Linked DNA regions of Lonchura striata. The protein of the gene in region 1 purifies or fractionates together with the protein of each later gene. This does not show direct contact. Links are inferred from orthologs where the notes say so. Each region holds a gene or a part of one and is shown on either strand. Other genes may lie near its edges.

What was found. The genes of interacting proteins can lie anywhere in the genome.
Region 2: the proteins of SERTAD4 (region 1) and PPP2R2D purify together in Homo sapiens (affinity purification with mass spectrometry; 3 studies listed by BioGRID and IntAct, counting the BioPlex papers as one, with this or other methods). This does not show direct contact. The link is inferred for Lonchura striata from reciprocal best matches to the Homo sapiens genes SERTAD4 and PPP2R2D.

The regions. Positions count from the first base shown.
Region 1 is NC_134605.1:12,752,978-12,760,106, reverse strand, and holds the start of SERTAD4 (SERTA domain-containing protein 4), read left to right. Parts: upstream 1-4,063; 5' UTR 4,064-4,143; intron 4,144-4,470; 5' UTR 4,471-4,485; coding exon 4,486-4,657; intron 4,658-5,027; coding exon 5,028-5,143; intron 5,144-7,129.
Region 2 is NC_134609.1:31,970,081-31,977,963, forward strand, and holds the start of PPP2R2D (serine/threonine-protein phosphatase 2A 55 kDa regulatory subunit B delta isoform), read left to right. Parts: upstream 1-4,792; 5' UTR 4,793-4,921; coding exon 4,922-4,928; intron 4,929-5,133; coding exon 5,134-5,232; intron 5,233-7,883. UniProt on the Homo sapiens protein: Substrate-recognition subunit of protein phosphatase 2A (PP2A) that plays a key role in cell cycle by controlling mitosis entry and exit. Involved in chromosome clustering during late mitosis by mediating dephosphorylation of MKI67.

The DNA of each region.
Region 1 (7,129 bases):
CCTCAGCTACCTTATACCAGTAAGAGAAGGAAGAACTCTCCCTACCATGGGCTGTCTCTTGGAAGTCCAGTTTTCAATTTAAATCCATTATAGTCAGTTCCAGAGGGTTTTCCACTTCTTGCAGCCTTGCTGCTCAGCTTGTCTCCAAAGCCCTGAGTGCTGGAATTGTCTTTGATCCTTTGCTTTCATTTCCTGTGACTGGGCTGCCCCAGTGTGCTGTGATTAGGTGTCCCTTGCATTTCCACTGCTTCATTCATAACATTACTACAGCTACATATGCATCTATCCAAACAATAAACATTTTAATCAAGGTCCTCATTATCTCCCATCTCTGTTTGTAACTTCCTCCTCCTTGAACCTGTGCCACATCAGCCAGTTTGATCTATTTAAACAACAAACTCCCAACATCCTCTTCCCTGTCCGCTGCTGTGGTCAGAGCCAAGCTACCTCCTGCCTCTCCTCCTTATTTGCCTCCATCCAGTCTTTTATTTTCCCATGTGAGGTTGTCACAGTTCTGCCATAGCTGTCATCACTCCACCATTGTCTCTACAGCATGGCTGTGCACTCTTTGCCAGTGATGCCTTTATCTGCTGCTCCCAGGGGAGCCTTTATGCCCTTTTCCATGACGCTCTTGTCCACAGGATGCCCTGCCTCCCTCAGCTAAATTGGCAACACCAAACTTTGTTGCATCAACCATAAAGAGCAGGTAGTTTACGATGAGGTTAGCCTGGACTGGTTTACAGGTGATGCAGTCGGGGTTTTTTTTTAAGGGAGGTACATCAGTCTGGGTATGTGTTTGTGCCTTTCCCCTTCCTCTTGCCAGCTGTCATTGCTTCCTTAGACAGTGGGTCTGCACAGGCTGTGTGCAATGGGACTCCTTATTGCTTCTGCACTGAAAATTTTCTGAAATGTCAGAAAGGTAACAGCTACCAAAACGATGGCAATTTTGTTTTCTAAGTACTGCAATCCAGATGTTAAAAATGGCATAGCACAGCTGAGAAATGCTATTCTCTCCTCAAGCCATGTTGTTATGCAATGGAAAGCTCCACACTATGTGATAAAAACTGAACCTGCTGCAGTTCTTGGGTACAAACCCAGGGCTAAACAAGGAATAGCCGTCTTAAGTCTGTTCCCTTGTTTTTATTGGTCTCAGTGAGACTTGCAGCTTTATAGTCATGGGCATTTTATATTTAAGTTTGGGTTTTTAGAGGCATTCTGGAACTGTATAAAAAGCCCCTTTCTCTGACATCGCATCAGGCTTTTTGTAATGTGAATGGCATCATTACAGTTCTCTCATTAACATCATAATGGCTCTGGAGGAATAGGGAGTGAAAACCCCAGCAAATGGAGTAGCGTGCTTGCGATGTATAGTCGTCTTACTGTGTGAAACCGAACACGGAAAAAGTTTGACATTTTAACCTTCAGGCTGATGCCTCGGGGTGTCCTCACACTGAATGCATTTGGCTGACAAAATGGAAAAATTCTGGTAGCCTAAGGATGGAGGGCTGGGTTCAATAAAAAACTGTGCCTGGCTTCCATGCCACTGAAGCCCACACAAGGCTCCTAAATGGATTTTTCAAAATTGAATCCAGCCCCAAGTGTCAACCTTTTGCTGTAATTTTATATTGTAAATGTATTGTATGTTCAAATGTACATCTTTCATCCTTTATTTCCAGAGGCGCTAATGGAAATGTAACAATGTGTGTGCTGTTCTGCAAAGTCTCATTGAAACCAACGGGATTTTGGATGAAATCCCTCCATTGCATAAGATAATGTAATATAAATGGGTTGGGCTTACGGCTGGAGAATGATGAGATCTGGTTCTATTTCTGGCGCTGACACTGATTTGCTGTGTGACTTCTGGCAAGATACTCAGGGATGGATTTTGCCACCCTTAATGGGGAAAAGCAGTAGGTTGGCTCTTGGGGAGCAGTGCCAGAGGTCCTGTTTGCAGAGCTGGGTCTGATGGTGCTTCCTCAGTAAACACTGGCTCACAGTTCTGCTGTGTCCAACTCCACCTTCAAGGAGGCCAACTTTTCCCATGTGCTTGGGTGCTTGCAGCTCTCTTCCCACTCATTTGCAACAGCTGGAAATCACTGCTTCTCAACATCCAAGGGGAACAAATAGCGCACCCAGAGTCACCAGGCCTTTTAAAAGCCTGGTTCTCAGCATCTGTATGCTGAAGCAATTACTCTGCCACAAAATAGGACTTATTTTTTAGCTGAGAGCCACCTCTAAATCTTTGTAACACATGCTGAGATCTACAAGCTTTGTTTGGGGCTTTGGTTTTCTGGTGGTTGTGTTTTGTTTCTCCCAGGGAAGCGATATTATTTATGCCTTGTTTTTATACAGTTTGGAAATATGGAGAATGTGCATGGACAGTTGCTGTTTACAGAAGTGAACTGGCCTGCCTCTATTAATTTTGCATGTTGTAAATAGCAAAAACAGTTCATTTACTTTCGTGGCTGTCCAGAGAACTCAGTTTTTCAAGATAAATTAGCAGCACTATGCAGAAAGCTTCCTTCCTTCCTTCCTTCCTGCATGTTTCTGCTTGAGCTTAGAGAGACCTATTTGTGAAGAAATATGGTAAGAAAAAGATGCAGACTTGAAATCTCAGATTCTCATTTAAAAAAAGTAAATTCACAAAGAGATGCTGTATTCATTATGAGCAAAGAATCTTGACTTCCAGAAGCAGTAGTGAGTTTCTTCCAACCCTTATTCTCTCAGGACAAACACTGAGTGTTGATGTCTTGCCAATGTGAGAAGATTGATGTGCCCCTGTGAATGATTCCTCCATCTGGATTAATGAGAAGAGTCCATTGCTGCTTTCTAATGATGGTGTAATCTTTTCAGATACAAAATATATGAGGTTTTAGCTGGTTCTTGGGGTCACTTCTTGGTCCTGCTGTTAGATCAGCAGACTGACTCAGTTGTTTTGACCACTCCTTCCATGTGTTGGTTCTCAGCTGGTAAGACAAGGTGTGGGGAATAAATAATAGATGTTGTCTGTGTCAGGGGTAACTTTCAAAGGGCCAACCAGCGGCTTGCCATTCCCTATGCTGTTCCTTGGTCCAAGAAAAACAAGATGGCAAGAAAAATGACTGAGGTCTATATGCAGTGCATTAGCAGTAAATTGGCTCTGAGGAAGGGGTTTAGGCACCTGTCAGTCCTCCTGCAGCGAGACTGGTGGCCCTTACTAAGGCAAACTGCCTGGGGACCGCAGCTGCCTGTGCCTCCAGCTCCCGTTTGTGCCCCGGTGAGGAGGCAAGGCAGATCCATGCATGCAGGCATCCAAGACACAAACAGCGCACGCTGGAAGCCGTTTCTTAATAAAGTAGCAGCCTTGTGCTAGGATTTAAGAAAACAACTGGCAGATGTGAACGATTTATTTTTCCTCCCTCTTCTGCTGCGGTTTATTTTTTCCTCTTGTTCGAGAGCGCTCGGCTGCTAACACAAACAATTGCTGAAATTCCACCTGCCCACCTGCAGCCCCTCCTTCCCGCCGCCTGCTCGGGCCGTCGCCCTCCTCCGGGAGGGCTGCGCCGAGGGGAAACTACATCCCGCTTTCTTAGAGAGAGGAGGAGGAAGGAGAGGGAGGGGCCGGGCCGTGTCTGGGCGCATTGTTCCGCGCTCCTCTGCCAAGAAGTAGGTGACTATGAACTCATCCCTCGCTCCTCGCAGAAAGTTTGCCGCCTTCCCCCCCTGCTCCCCTCCCCTCCCGCCCGCTGGCGCGGCAGGAGGCAGCTCGCAGCCCGGCGCTGGCCCCGGAGTCCCCGCTCCTGCTTAATATTCCGCCCGCTCCGCCGATGTTGTGCTTGGCTCCGGTGGGACCGCAACTCACGGCGTGAAACCGGAGCCAATTTTCTGTCTTTAGTCTCGCAGTGTTTTGACTGGAGGCAGATCCAGTTCAGTCCGATCGGGGCTAGTGGAAACAACTACCTAAGTCTCCGCTGTCTGTATCGTTTGGGAGGGAAGAAAGAAGAAAGGAAGGCGATCCCGGACTGCTGGGCGCGCTCTCTCTCGCACACACACGCACCGCAGACACACGCACCCAGACAGGCAGACTCGCACCCCGCCGGTGCCGAGCGCGCCGTGCCACCGCCGCCGGGAGGAAATGGGAAGGCAGTGAGCGGATCCGAGCCGGTGTGTGAGCGCCGCCGGGGCCGGGAAGGGGCGGCGGGGGGAGCGGAGCGCGGCCGGGGGCGGCGGGAGCGGGGCCGGGGGCGGCGCGCACCAACTCCCGGTGCCGGGGACCCCGCGCCCTTTGTGGGAGAGGGCTCCGCTCTTTCTCCTGCCGTAAGGAGGGAGGGGAAAAAACCCTAAACGCGTGTCTATGTGAGGTCGATACGCGTATGTTTTTCATATACGTGTGCGCGGAGGTCTGGCTGCTGGGGGCCGCGGGGGGCGGAACGCGGCGGGGCGGGGGGCAGGTGAGGGCGGCGGGCGCTCACCGCGCTGCTTCGCTTCCAGGTGCCGGCGCCCGCGATGACCCTGGTGCTGCCCATGCAGCGGCTGGGCCGCCCCATCGCCGCCGAGGGAGCCGCCGACCTCGCCGCCTACCGCGCCCTCTGGGAGCCGCCCTGCTGCGGCCGCCCCGGCCCCGCAGCCCCGCCGGCCGCGGCCCCAAGCCCGCCGGCCCCCGGGGCCCCCGCCGCAGGTAGGCACGGCACCGCCGCGGGGGCACCGGGCGGCCCCGGCACCAGGGGCTGTCCGCGGAGCGGGGCGGGCGGAGGGCGGAGGGCGGGGGTCTCCCGCGGGGCCGCAGGTGCGCGGGGCCGCCGGGCGCTGTCGCGGCGCAGTTGTCCGGCACCGAGCGCCCTGCGGCGGCCCCGGCTCCCCGCGCCGCCGCTCGCACCGGCCGCGGGTCCTGCGCCTGGCGGGAGAGGGTTTATTGCTGATCGCCGCCGATCGATGCGAAAATATGCGGCGGCGTTCTCCTGTAGCGCGAAGGGAAATGAAAAGTATTTTGTTTGGAGAACCTCCGGCAAACCGCATGTCATTTGTCATATCTGATTTATTACCCACAGGATCACATTACAGGGGAATTTCAAATCCTGTAACGACATCCAAGATCACATACTTTAAAAGGAAATATGTGGAAGAAGAGGATTTTCATCCGCCACTCAGCAGCTGTTCACATAAAGTATGTTTTCTCATAGTCATTATTTTTACTCTGAGTTTCAGATGCTTAGTAACACTCGATTGACCCATTTCCAGAAGGCTGAAATACTCTGCTGAAATTAGGAGAATGATCCAGCTGTTTGCTCAGAAACAAACAGTTGTCACTTCTTCACATTTATTGTTGTATTGTCATCAATTGCAAAATAAGCAAAGGCGTTTCTGCAATAATAACTGCAAAGGAAATGCTGAGAATAACTTTTTTCTTCAGATTATTTTGTTCTTAGCTAGTTCACGTCTTGCTTACAGAAACAGATCTGTAACAACATTTAAACAACAGAAAGGCAGAACATAAGTAAAAGATTTCCCACTTCCTTTCCAGAGGGGAAAATAGTGAGAGGTTCCATACATCCCACACTGGTCACTGATCCTCTAAAAAACCAGAATGGCTTGGAAAGCAAGTACAAGTTCCCTCAGTATTTAATCATGTTTATTAAAAAGCTAATAACTCCCAAAGAACAGATTAGTAAATGAAAGAATATTTTTAGTGAAAGTTGCCAGGGGAGAGATTAGAGCAAACGTTTCCCAGGCCGGTGAATACATAAATTGAAATCTGACTATTTCTGCGAGATTTTATGCTCCCTTTCATTAAGGGCTCAGTTCTGTGTGGAACTGAATGCCTGGGGTGAAATGCTTAAGGATAGCTCATGCCTTGAGACACCATCCTTACCTTATTGAATCCTACCTGGCCCATGGAATTCCAGTGCTACCCATGTTCTCTTGGCAATGAGGGAGAGATTTCTGTGGAGGAGAAGCAAGCATTAATGCTGAGCTCAGTTCCCAAATACCTTAGAGTAGCTGAAGAAATTTTCAGCTACAAATAGAGTTGTCTGGAAATAAGTACCTGGACCAGAGAGGTGAAAAATTGTCCCGTTGTTAATTTCAGAAGATGTCTGGTTTCCTGCCAGGACAGTGAATAAACAGCACCAAGGGTGTTGAAAAAAGTGATTTGGTTAGTGAGTGTCTCACACATATTACTTCACTCTCCCAGTTTTCAGCCAGTTTTTTTTTTTTTTTTTTTTATAAGATTGCTGGATTTTTGTATCAGTGATTAATTTCCTTACAAAGAGGGGCAGGAGGAATAGTTATTTAGCCTCTTCTAACAGCAATAAGATGCAGTTGTAGAGGTATTAGTAAGCTAGACCCAGCCACTGTTTTATGCTGTTGTTTGCAGAGGTGTAACGTGTCAGAAACTCTGGGTCACCAATTTCTTCCATTGAGCCCAAATACATTTTCTTCTTTGCAGCACTGAGCTCTGGCAGAGGGAGGATGCACACCAGGTTTCCTTGAATTTCTTACATGTTTATACCTCTGCCACCCAGTAAAGAGATATGTTCTAAGATTACTTGTCCCATAGAGGATAAGATGGTAGGGCCTGGGGCTTCTCTCCAGAGGGCTGCTGGCAAACATGTATAAGAAATCCTTTGATAGCTTGTTCTTACTGGTGTCCCTCCAGTACATATCTCCAGGAGAATCCCAGTTCAAGGCTTACTGGTTTGCTCCAGGCTTTTATGGCTTCACTGACTGTTGTTGCATCAGGTACAAAGGACGCAAATGAACCTATAGGCTTAATATAATTTAAAATGAGTCATTTATTATAGAAAATTACTCTCTCTAACAAAGAGCTTCAGCTGTGAACTCATATGAAATTATGGCCAATTTTTGTTTTTATGAGGCACTGTGCTGCTTCTAAGCCTCACAGACATGACCAGGCTGTGGAAAGAGCTAGAGGGCTGAGGAGAGCTGAATGGATGTGAAAAGCAGCTGTGCTTTAAGCTCTTTCAGTCCTCATAGCTACGACTTCCACTCTGCAAAAATGCTGTAACCATGTGGGAAAGGGAAGAATGATCAAGCCACAGATGGGGGGATTTAGAGCAGTTTCTCTTTGTGCTGTGCTGCTCTCCTCCTACGCAAACCAAATTCTTACTAAAAATGAAAATTAGTTACTAGT
Region 2 (7,883 bases), on another chromosome or scaffold:
GAACACCTGGGGAGGCTACCTGAGGGTGAGCAGGGCAGAACAGCGACTCAGCGGGCACCCTGTGCCCTGCAGCCAGAAATAGAGAGCGCATGGCCTCGTCCCTCCCGTCCCTCTCCCCAGGACACACACGGTGCCAGGAAAACGCTGTGCTGCTCCTTCCTGGAAGAGCTCCCCTCTCCAGGGCCAGGGCTGGGCTGGTGCCAGGGCAGAGGGACACTGAGCCACGGGAGCTGTGCACGGGACAGGCTGGCGACAGCCAGGAAGGTGATGGCACGGGGACAGCAGGGAGGGAAAAGCCGGACCACGAGGCTTAGGACATTTGCCTGGAGGTGACAAAGGGGCTTTCCTGAGGGGCTTGGATGGAAGGAAAAGTCTGCTTTGGAGCAGGAAAAGTCAGCATGCCATGCATACCTCATACAAGACCAGGATTTCAGGGACAGAGGGGTCTGTGCTCAGCTGCGGGAGCAGGGACCTGGGCAGGAACCACCAGAGGTGAACAAGGACTCTTCATACACCATAGGTGTAAAAAACACAGCAAAATTACTGAACACAGGGCTCATAAGGAAACCCACCAGCTGCCAAACCACAGGCTTGCTCCGAAGTTTGGAACACTGACAAAAATTCCATGGGAAAAAGATCTGTTGCGCTTCTCACCTAAGAATAATCAGGTGTTGTGCTGTCAATTAGCACGTGAGGTGCGTGTGGTTTCTATCTGTTAACAAAATGTGACTCCCTGTGCCCACCAGCTGTACTTCCCTTCAGGATAAACGCTCTTTCCATGGATTGCCCCGTGTTTTTGGGAATTACCCTTGCAGCACCGTCTCTTTTCAGAGCAGAGGCAGTGAGAGCGCCCTGGCAGGCTCAGGGCTGTTGGCCCTCTGCAGAGGGTGGAAAATGAGGGACGGGGCAGCAGCACACGGGGCACGGAGGGCAGCTGGCCCCGCAGGATCCTATTTCCAGAGCACACGTGGAAACTTTGTTCTCGGGAGCTTTCCTTGCTCGGCGTGGCCAGGCAGAACGTCAGCTCCTTGTGCGTGCACCCCAGTACACGGCAGGGACCCAGCGACTGGGAACAGCCGCTCTGTCACCCTGTGCCCGAGTTCTGGAATTCTGCAAGAGCACACACCCAGCCCCGTGCCCGGCCTGTGCAACACCTCTGCCCACACCCCCCGGGCTGAGCAGGGAAAGCTTTCCCAACCCCCTGTCCCCAGCCTGGGCAGCAGGAAAGGGGAATTGTGCCCCGTGCCCAGGTGAGCCCCACCTGCAGAGCTGGCTCAGAGGGACCTGGAGCTGCTGCAGAGGATCCAGAGGAGGCACCCAATGATCAGAGGATGGAGCAGCTCTGCTGGCAGAGCTGCACTGGAACCTGCAGGGGAGAAGGGTGGGGTGACCTCGGGGTGGCCTCACGGGGCTGGAGGAGCCAGCAAGAAACTGGAGAGAGATGATTTACAAGGGCCTGGAGTGCCAGGGCATGGGAGAAGGACTCTGCCAAAGAGCAGGGTTTAAAGGCATTCTTTGCCCTTCAGGATGACTTTCCTACAGCCAAGAGACTAAGTAAAAAAATATTTTATTTAAACACTTGATACACAACACACTACATAAGGAATAAACACAAATCAAGTAATGAGTCTATAAATGGGTACAGATGTCATAGCAAGAAATTAAATAAGGAAAACCTGAGTCAAACGCATTTCTGTATCTAAATTACCAAGAAAAGGCTGCAAGCCCAGAGGAGTAATGTCTCTGAGAGGAACCATCCTGAACTCAGGCAAGTGCTAGACTTTAGCCCTTCCACAGGAAAATCCTCAAGAACCTCCAGGTAAAATTCCATTCAGTAAGATAAAGACTTCCAGCAGAGAGAATTACTTGTTCCTAACAAGACTCTTACTCTGTAAGGGGATGTTCTTCACTCACCTGGGCTCAAGATCACAATTAACCAAGTCTGTTCATCAACCAATTTCCTTGCATTTCCTACAACCAACAGGACTTAGGAAACCACCTCAGACTGAGACACAACAGTGCAGACCTGTCGCCTTTCCAAGCACTTAGCCCTTCCCTAGGAGCAGCTGGGCTTTAAAGTTCTTTAAATTGTACCATTTTCCAAAGGACTGCGAGACCAGGAATGTATTAATAGACGGGGTTTGGGGCAAACACAGAATTCATTTTCATTTCTTTCTGCTCTTTTGGATTTAGGGGCAGAAATTGCATCTCCACAAATTCCAGTATCCGTGCTTGGAAAAGGAGCAGTCAGGAGAGGCCCGAACTCAACGGGGCAGCAGGAATATTGAGTTTGTGAGGCAGGAGATGCAGGGAAGGGGCAGCTCCGCAGCCGTGGTCGGACACCTGCAGCCCTGGAGCTCCAGGAGCGCAGATCCGGAGGGATCCCGGCCGCGTTCCCTCCTCCCAGCCCTGCCCGCGGCCAAACCCGGCCAGCACAGCCCCAGGGCCGGGGCTTGGGGCTGGATCCCAAATCACCACGGGCAGCTCCGGAGCCGGGCCGGGCCCTCCTGCCCGGGGCGAGGAACGGTGTGGGGGGACACGAGCCGGATGAAGAAAAGCTGTGACTGAGAGCTGGGCTGAGGAAAGGCTGTCCCTGAGGCATGAGAGCAGAGCTGGGCTTAGGAAAGGCTGTCCCTGAGAGCCGGGCTGAGGAAAGGCTGTGACTGAGAACTGGGCATAGGAAAGGCTGTGACTGAGACATGAGAGCAGAGCCGGGCTTAGGAAAGGCTGTGACTGAGACATGAGAGCAGAGCCGGGCTTAGGAAAGGCTGTGACTGAGAGCTGGGCTTAGGAAAGGCTGTGACTGAGACATGAGAGCAGAGCTGGGCTTAGGAAAGGCTGTGCCTGAGACACAGAGCCGGGTTTAGGAAAGGCTGTGACTGACAGCCGGGCTGAGGAAAGGCTGTGACTGAGAACTGGGCTTAGGAAAGGCTGTGACTGAGACATGAGAGCAGAGCTGGGCTTAGGAAAGGCTGTGCCTGAGACACAGAGCCGGGTTTAGGAAAGGCTGTGACTGAGACACAGAGCTGGGTTTAGGAAAGGCTGTCACTGAGAGCCGGGTTTAGGAAAGGCTGTGACTGAGAGCCGGGCTGAGGAAAGGCTGTGACTGAGAACTGGGCTTAGGAAAGGCTGTGACTGAGACATGAGAGCAGAGCTGGGCTTAGGAAAGGCTGTGCCTGAGACACAGAGCCGGGTTTAGGAAAGGCTGTGACTGACAGCCGGGCTGAGGAAAGGCTGTGCCTGAGACACAGAGCTGGGTTTAGGAAAGGCTGTCACTGAGAGCCGGGTTTAGGAAAGGCTGTGACTGAGAGCCGGGCTGAGGAAAGGCTGTGACTGAGACACCAGAGCCGGGTTTAGGAAAGGCTGTGACTGAGACACAGAGCCGGGTTTAGGAAAGGCTGTGACTGAGAGCCGGGCTGAGGAAAGGCTGTGACTGAGACACAGAGCCGGGTTTAGGAAAGGCTGTGACTGAGACACAGAGCCGGGCTTAGGAAAGGCTGTCTCTGAGGGCTGCTGAGGCCTCGGCAGGCGCTGCCCAGGAGGGTGGCAGTGCCCGTCCCTGGAGGTGTCACCCGGAGGTGGCACTCGGAGCTCTGGGCTGGGGACAGGGTGGGGATGGGCACAGGGTGGACTCGGTGATCCTGAGGGCTTTTCCAGCCCCAGCGACTCTGGAATTCTGTGATAAACCTGTCCCTGAGGCCCTGCTCCCTCCCTCCCCTCACCCGGCTCTGGCGCAAAGGAGTCAGAGGCACGTTTGGGTTTTTGCTCTTTTGGTTAGTTTGGTTTTCCCCTCATCACAATTAACCCTTGGGGGAGCGAGCAGAACCAAACCGGGACGCACAGCGAGGTCTCTGCTGTGACGCTCCCGTCCCTTCACGGAAAGCCGCGTGTGGAGCGGCTGGGGAGCGCCGGCACGGCTCCGAGCCGCGCTCCTTCCTCCTCCTCCTCCTCCTCCTCATGCTGAGCCCCCCGTGCTGCCTGGGAGCGCCGGCACGGCTCCGAGCCGCGCTCCTTCCTCCTCCTCCTCCTCCTCCTCATGCTTATCCTCCGGTGCCCTGCGCGTCCCGCGGAGCCGGGGCCGGGACCGTGCCGTGCCGGTACCGTGCCATACCGTGCCGTGCCGTGCTGTGCCATGGCATACCGTGCCTGTACCATGCCATGCCGTGTCGTACCGGTACCGTGCCGTGCCGTGCCGTGCCGGTACCGTGCCATGCCGGTACCATGACGTACCGTGCCGTGCGGTACCATGCCGTACTGCACCGTACCATGCCGTGCCGTGCCGTACCGGTACCGTGCCGTGCCGTGCCGGTACCATGCCGTGCCATGCCGTGCCGGTATCATGCCGTACCGCACCGTACCATGCTGTACCATGCCGTACCATGCCGTGCCGTGCCGTACCGGTGCCATGCCGTGCCGTGCCGTACCATGCCGTACCATGCCATGCCGTACCGGTACGTGCCATGCCGTACCGGTACCGTGCCATGCCGTGCCATGCCGTGCCGTGCCGTGGCGTGCCATTGCACGCCGTGCCGTGCCGTGCCGTGCCATGCCGTGCCGTACCGGTACCGTGCCATGCCGTGGCGTGCCATTGCACGCCGTGCCGTGCTGTACCATGCCATGCCGTACCATGCCATGCCGTACCGGTACCATGCCGTGCCGTACCGGTACCGTGCCGTGCCGGTACCATGCCGTGCCATTGCACGCCGTGCCGTGCCGTGCCGTGCCGTGCCGTGCCATTGCACGCCGTGCCGCCCCGCTCGCCGCCCGGCCCGCCCTCCCCGAGGGGAGCCGGCGGTGACGTCACGGCCGGGCCGCCCGGCAATGGGCGCCATTTTGAAACCGCGAACCCTCCCGCGGCTCCGGGCGGCTCCGTCCCGCTCCCGGCCCCGCTCCCGGCCCCGCTCCCGCGGCTCCCCCCGCCATGGCAGGTCTGTGTCCGCGCCCCAGCTCCGCGCCGGGACGGGCCGGGACGGGCCGGGGCTGGGCGCCGCGGGGCCGCGGGGCCGGGCGCAGGCCGGGCCGCGCCGGGCGGCAGCGGCGGGGATGCGGGAGCGCGGCGGGCCGGGCCGGGCCGGGCGCGGGGCGCTCCTCTCCCTCCCTCCCCGCTCGCTCACCGCCCTTTCTCCTCCGCAGTAGTGGCGAGAGCTGGAGGCGACGGCGGCGGCAGCAGCAGCGAGGTGCAGTGGTGCTTCTTGCAGGTGAAGGGGGCGATCGACGAGGACGTGGCGGAAGGTGAGGGGAGCCCGGCTGCGCGCTCGGGCGGCCGCGGGCAGCGCCGCAGCATCCCCGGCCGTGCCGGGCTGTGCCATGACTAAGCGAGCTCCCACCCCTGGAGCATCACGGAGCAGCCACGGCGCCTTCCTCCGGGTCTCCGGTGCAATCCCTGAATCCCTGGGTAGCTGGGCCTGCGGCGCCTCTGGGATCCCCCGGCCCGGGCTCACCGGGAGCCGGGCACACCGGAACGGGTCCCGCAGGGCTCGGAACGGCTCTGCAGAGGGAGACCCCGGCCCCTCCCGGGCAGCTGCTCCAGGGCCCTGCCCCTCCATGCACACGAGTTCTTTTCTTCCTCTCGCTGGGCTGAACTCGCTGTGCCTCAGCTCTGCCCGTGCTCCTTGTCCTGGCCCTGGCACCGGCCCTGCCAGCCCTCGGGGAGATTTGCAGGGCTCGGCGGGGTCCCCCCTCAGCCTTCCCTGCTGCAGCCTGAGCAGCCCAGCTGCCAGAGCCTCTCCTCAGCTCAGAGATGCTCCAGTCCCAGAAGGACTCTGTGGCCTCTCTCTCCAGTGGCTCCTTGGCTTTCTGGTCCTGAGGAGCCCAGAACTGGGCACACTTCTGGGCTTAGGATAACTGTCTACAGTTCTGGGCTCAGGATAAAAGGTAACAACAGTGATACGATACAGGGAGAGGAAAAAAAGAAACACCAGTGGAGTCTGTCAGGCTTGTCAAGTTTCGCTCTGACGCACAGAGAGTGCAGCTCTGTCATTTGTGCTGCATTGAAAAGTGCAGTTTAAAGGGTTCCTGCAGCTGTGGAGAGATTTGATTCCCACTTGTTAACGTTAGGGAGCTATAAATAGGGATATTAAGCAGGGAAAAAGGGCACACCTTCACATTTCTCTGAAACTTTCCAGGCGCTTCATGTTTTGGACAGAGTAGAAAATAAGAAATGTTTTAACTGGGAAAAGTGTTTGCTGTAGTGTGCAGAGTCTGGGTGGAGTTTTGCTTGACTCTGATGAGAAAGTTCTTTTTCTGCCCCTAAATTTCATGTGTTCTAACTGTCCAGGTTGGCAGTGCTTCTTTCGAAAGTGTGAATTAACTTGCAGGGCCTGTGTGCTCAGCTTGGGTTTGGGATTTTATTTTTATTACTGGATGCAGTAAATATTTTTCCTTGCTGCCTGCTACGGGAAATTACGCTGACAGTGTTTTCATTTTCATGCCACTTGTTTGGCATTCCATTTAAAATAATGGCCATTGGAGGGATAGACTGGAAACTGCTCGAGAAACTACACTCACTCAGTTGTTTTCTTCCTTTTTCTTCCCTCTGTATGTTTTGTAGCTTGCTCTGAAGTTCCCAGAAATGTTGTAGAAATGTACAGAAGTAGCTTGTATGTTTTTTAAGTGGTTCTTTTTTCTCAGGTCTGTCACCTGTGTGACTAAAAGCCAGTTCTCCATGAGTAAAGGATATAGTTCTGGGGACTTTTGGCTCCTGGGGGCACTTTGCTTCCCAGATAACTCCTGAGCAGCCTGGATTTACACAGAGCAGGAGAGCTCCAGGAATCGTTCAGCACCTGGTTTTGCAAAACTAACACTAAAGTTTTGTTTTCCCGTGGGAATACCAGAACTATTTACAGGCTTTGTGACTTCTTGGTTTTTTGTTTTGATTTGTGGCCTTTCCCCTCCTCTTACATTTTGCCTTGAAATTGAATATAAAAAATATGCTACTTATTTTCTAATAACTGCCCAAATTTAATTTCCTAGTAAGAGTACAAATACATGGCTAGGTTTTGGGCCTCAGTTAGGGACATATTTACTCACTGCCATCTTTTAAATCCTCTCTTACCAAACTGCACATCTAAACCTGCTTGATGGACAACTGTTGCCTTGAAATAGCCTTCAAATTACACATAAATTTTTGTGACAGTGCAAACTTGCTACTGCTGTCAATTTTTGGTCTGTTTTGTGAAAAATTAGCTCTCTAGAGGAGGAGGACACCATGAAGTTGCTGTCCAGCCTATTCCATGCAGAGTGTTTTGCCAGATTTTCTTAGGGGTTTATTCAGGAGTTGAAACTGCTCAGCCAGGCGACTTTACCAGAAAATCCGTTCTTTTACAGTGCAGTTCTATTGCACATTTTATATTCCATAGTTGTTTCTCAGGTGTCTGGCTTCATCACAAACACTGGGACAACTGTATCAGATTGGCAGCTGGATTTTCCTAAGTGGGTCATTAATACAGAAAATCACTGTCTCCTCTTTGTCTTGTCCGTGCCTTGCCTTTCCTCGGTGACTAATCCCTGACCTCTGTCCAGGCTCTGTGTCAGGAAAGAGAAGGGCACTGTTCAGTCTGACCGTTTCTGAAAGACCAGGAGAATCCATCACTTCTTGACTATGGATTTTGTAAAGGGTTGGGTAGGACTTTTCTAGAACGGAATAGTTTAGTTGGATTCGGGGGAGAGGACTGAAGGATAAAACAGATTATAAAATAGAGATTGGGTGAAAGACTTAATATTAGGGATGGCAACAATCACAATTTGAAAACAAAGCTAATTAAAGATTGTGTTGTAATTCTGTTGTTAGTGTTAACCACATGACTCCAAAACTTGCACTGATTGCCCATGGAATTTGTAATTCTTGGGTTGCTTGTTTTGTAGAAAGACCTTTCTAAATAGAG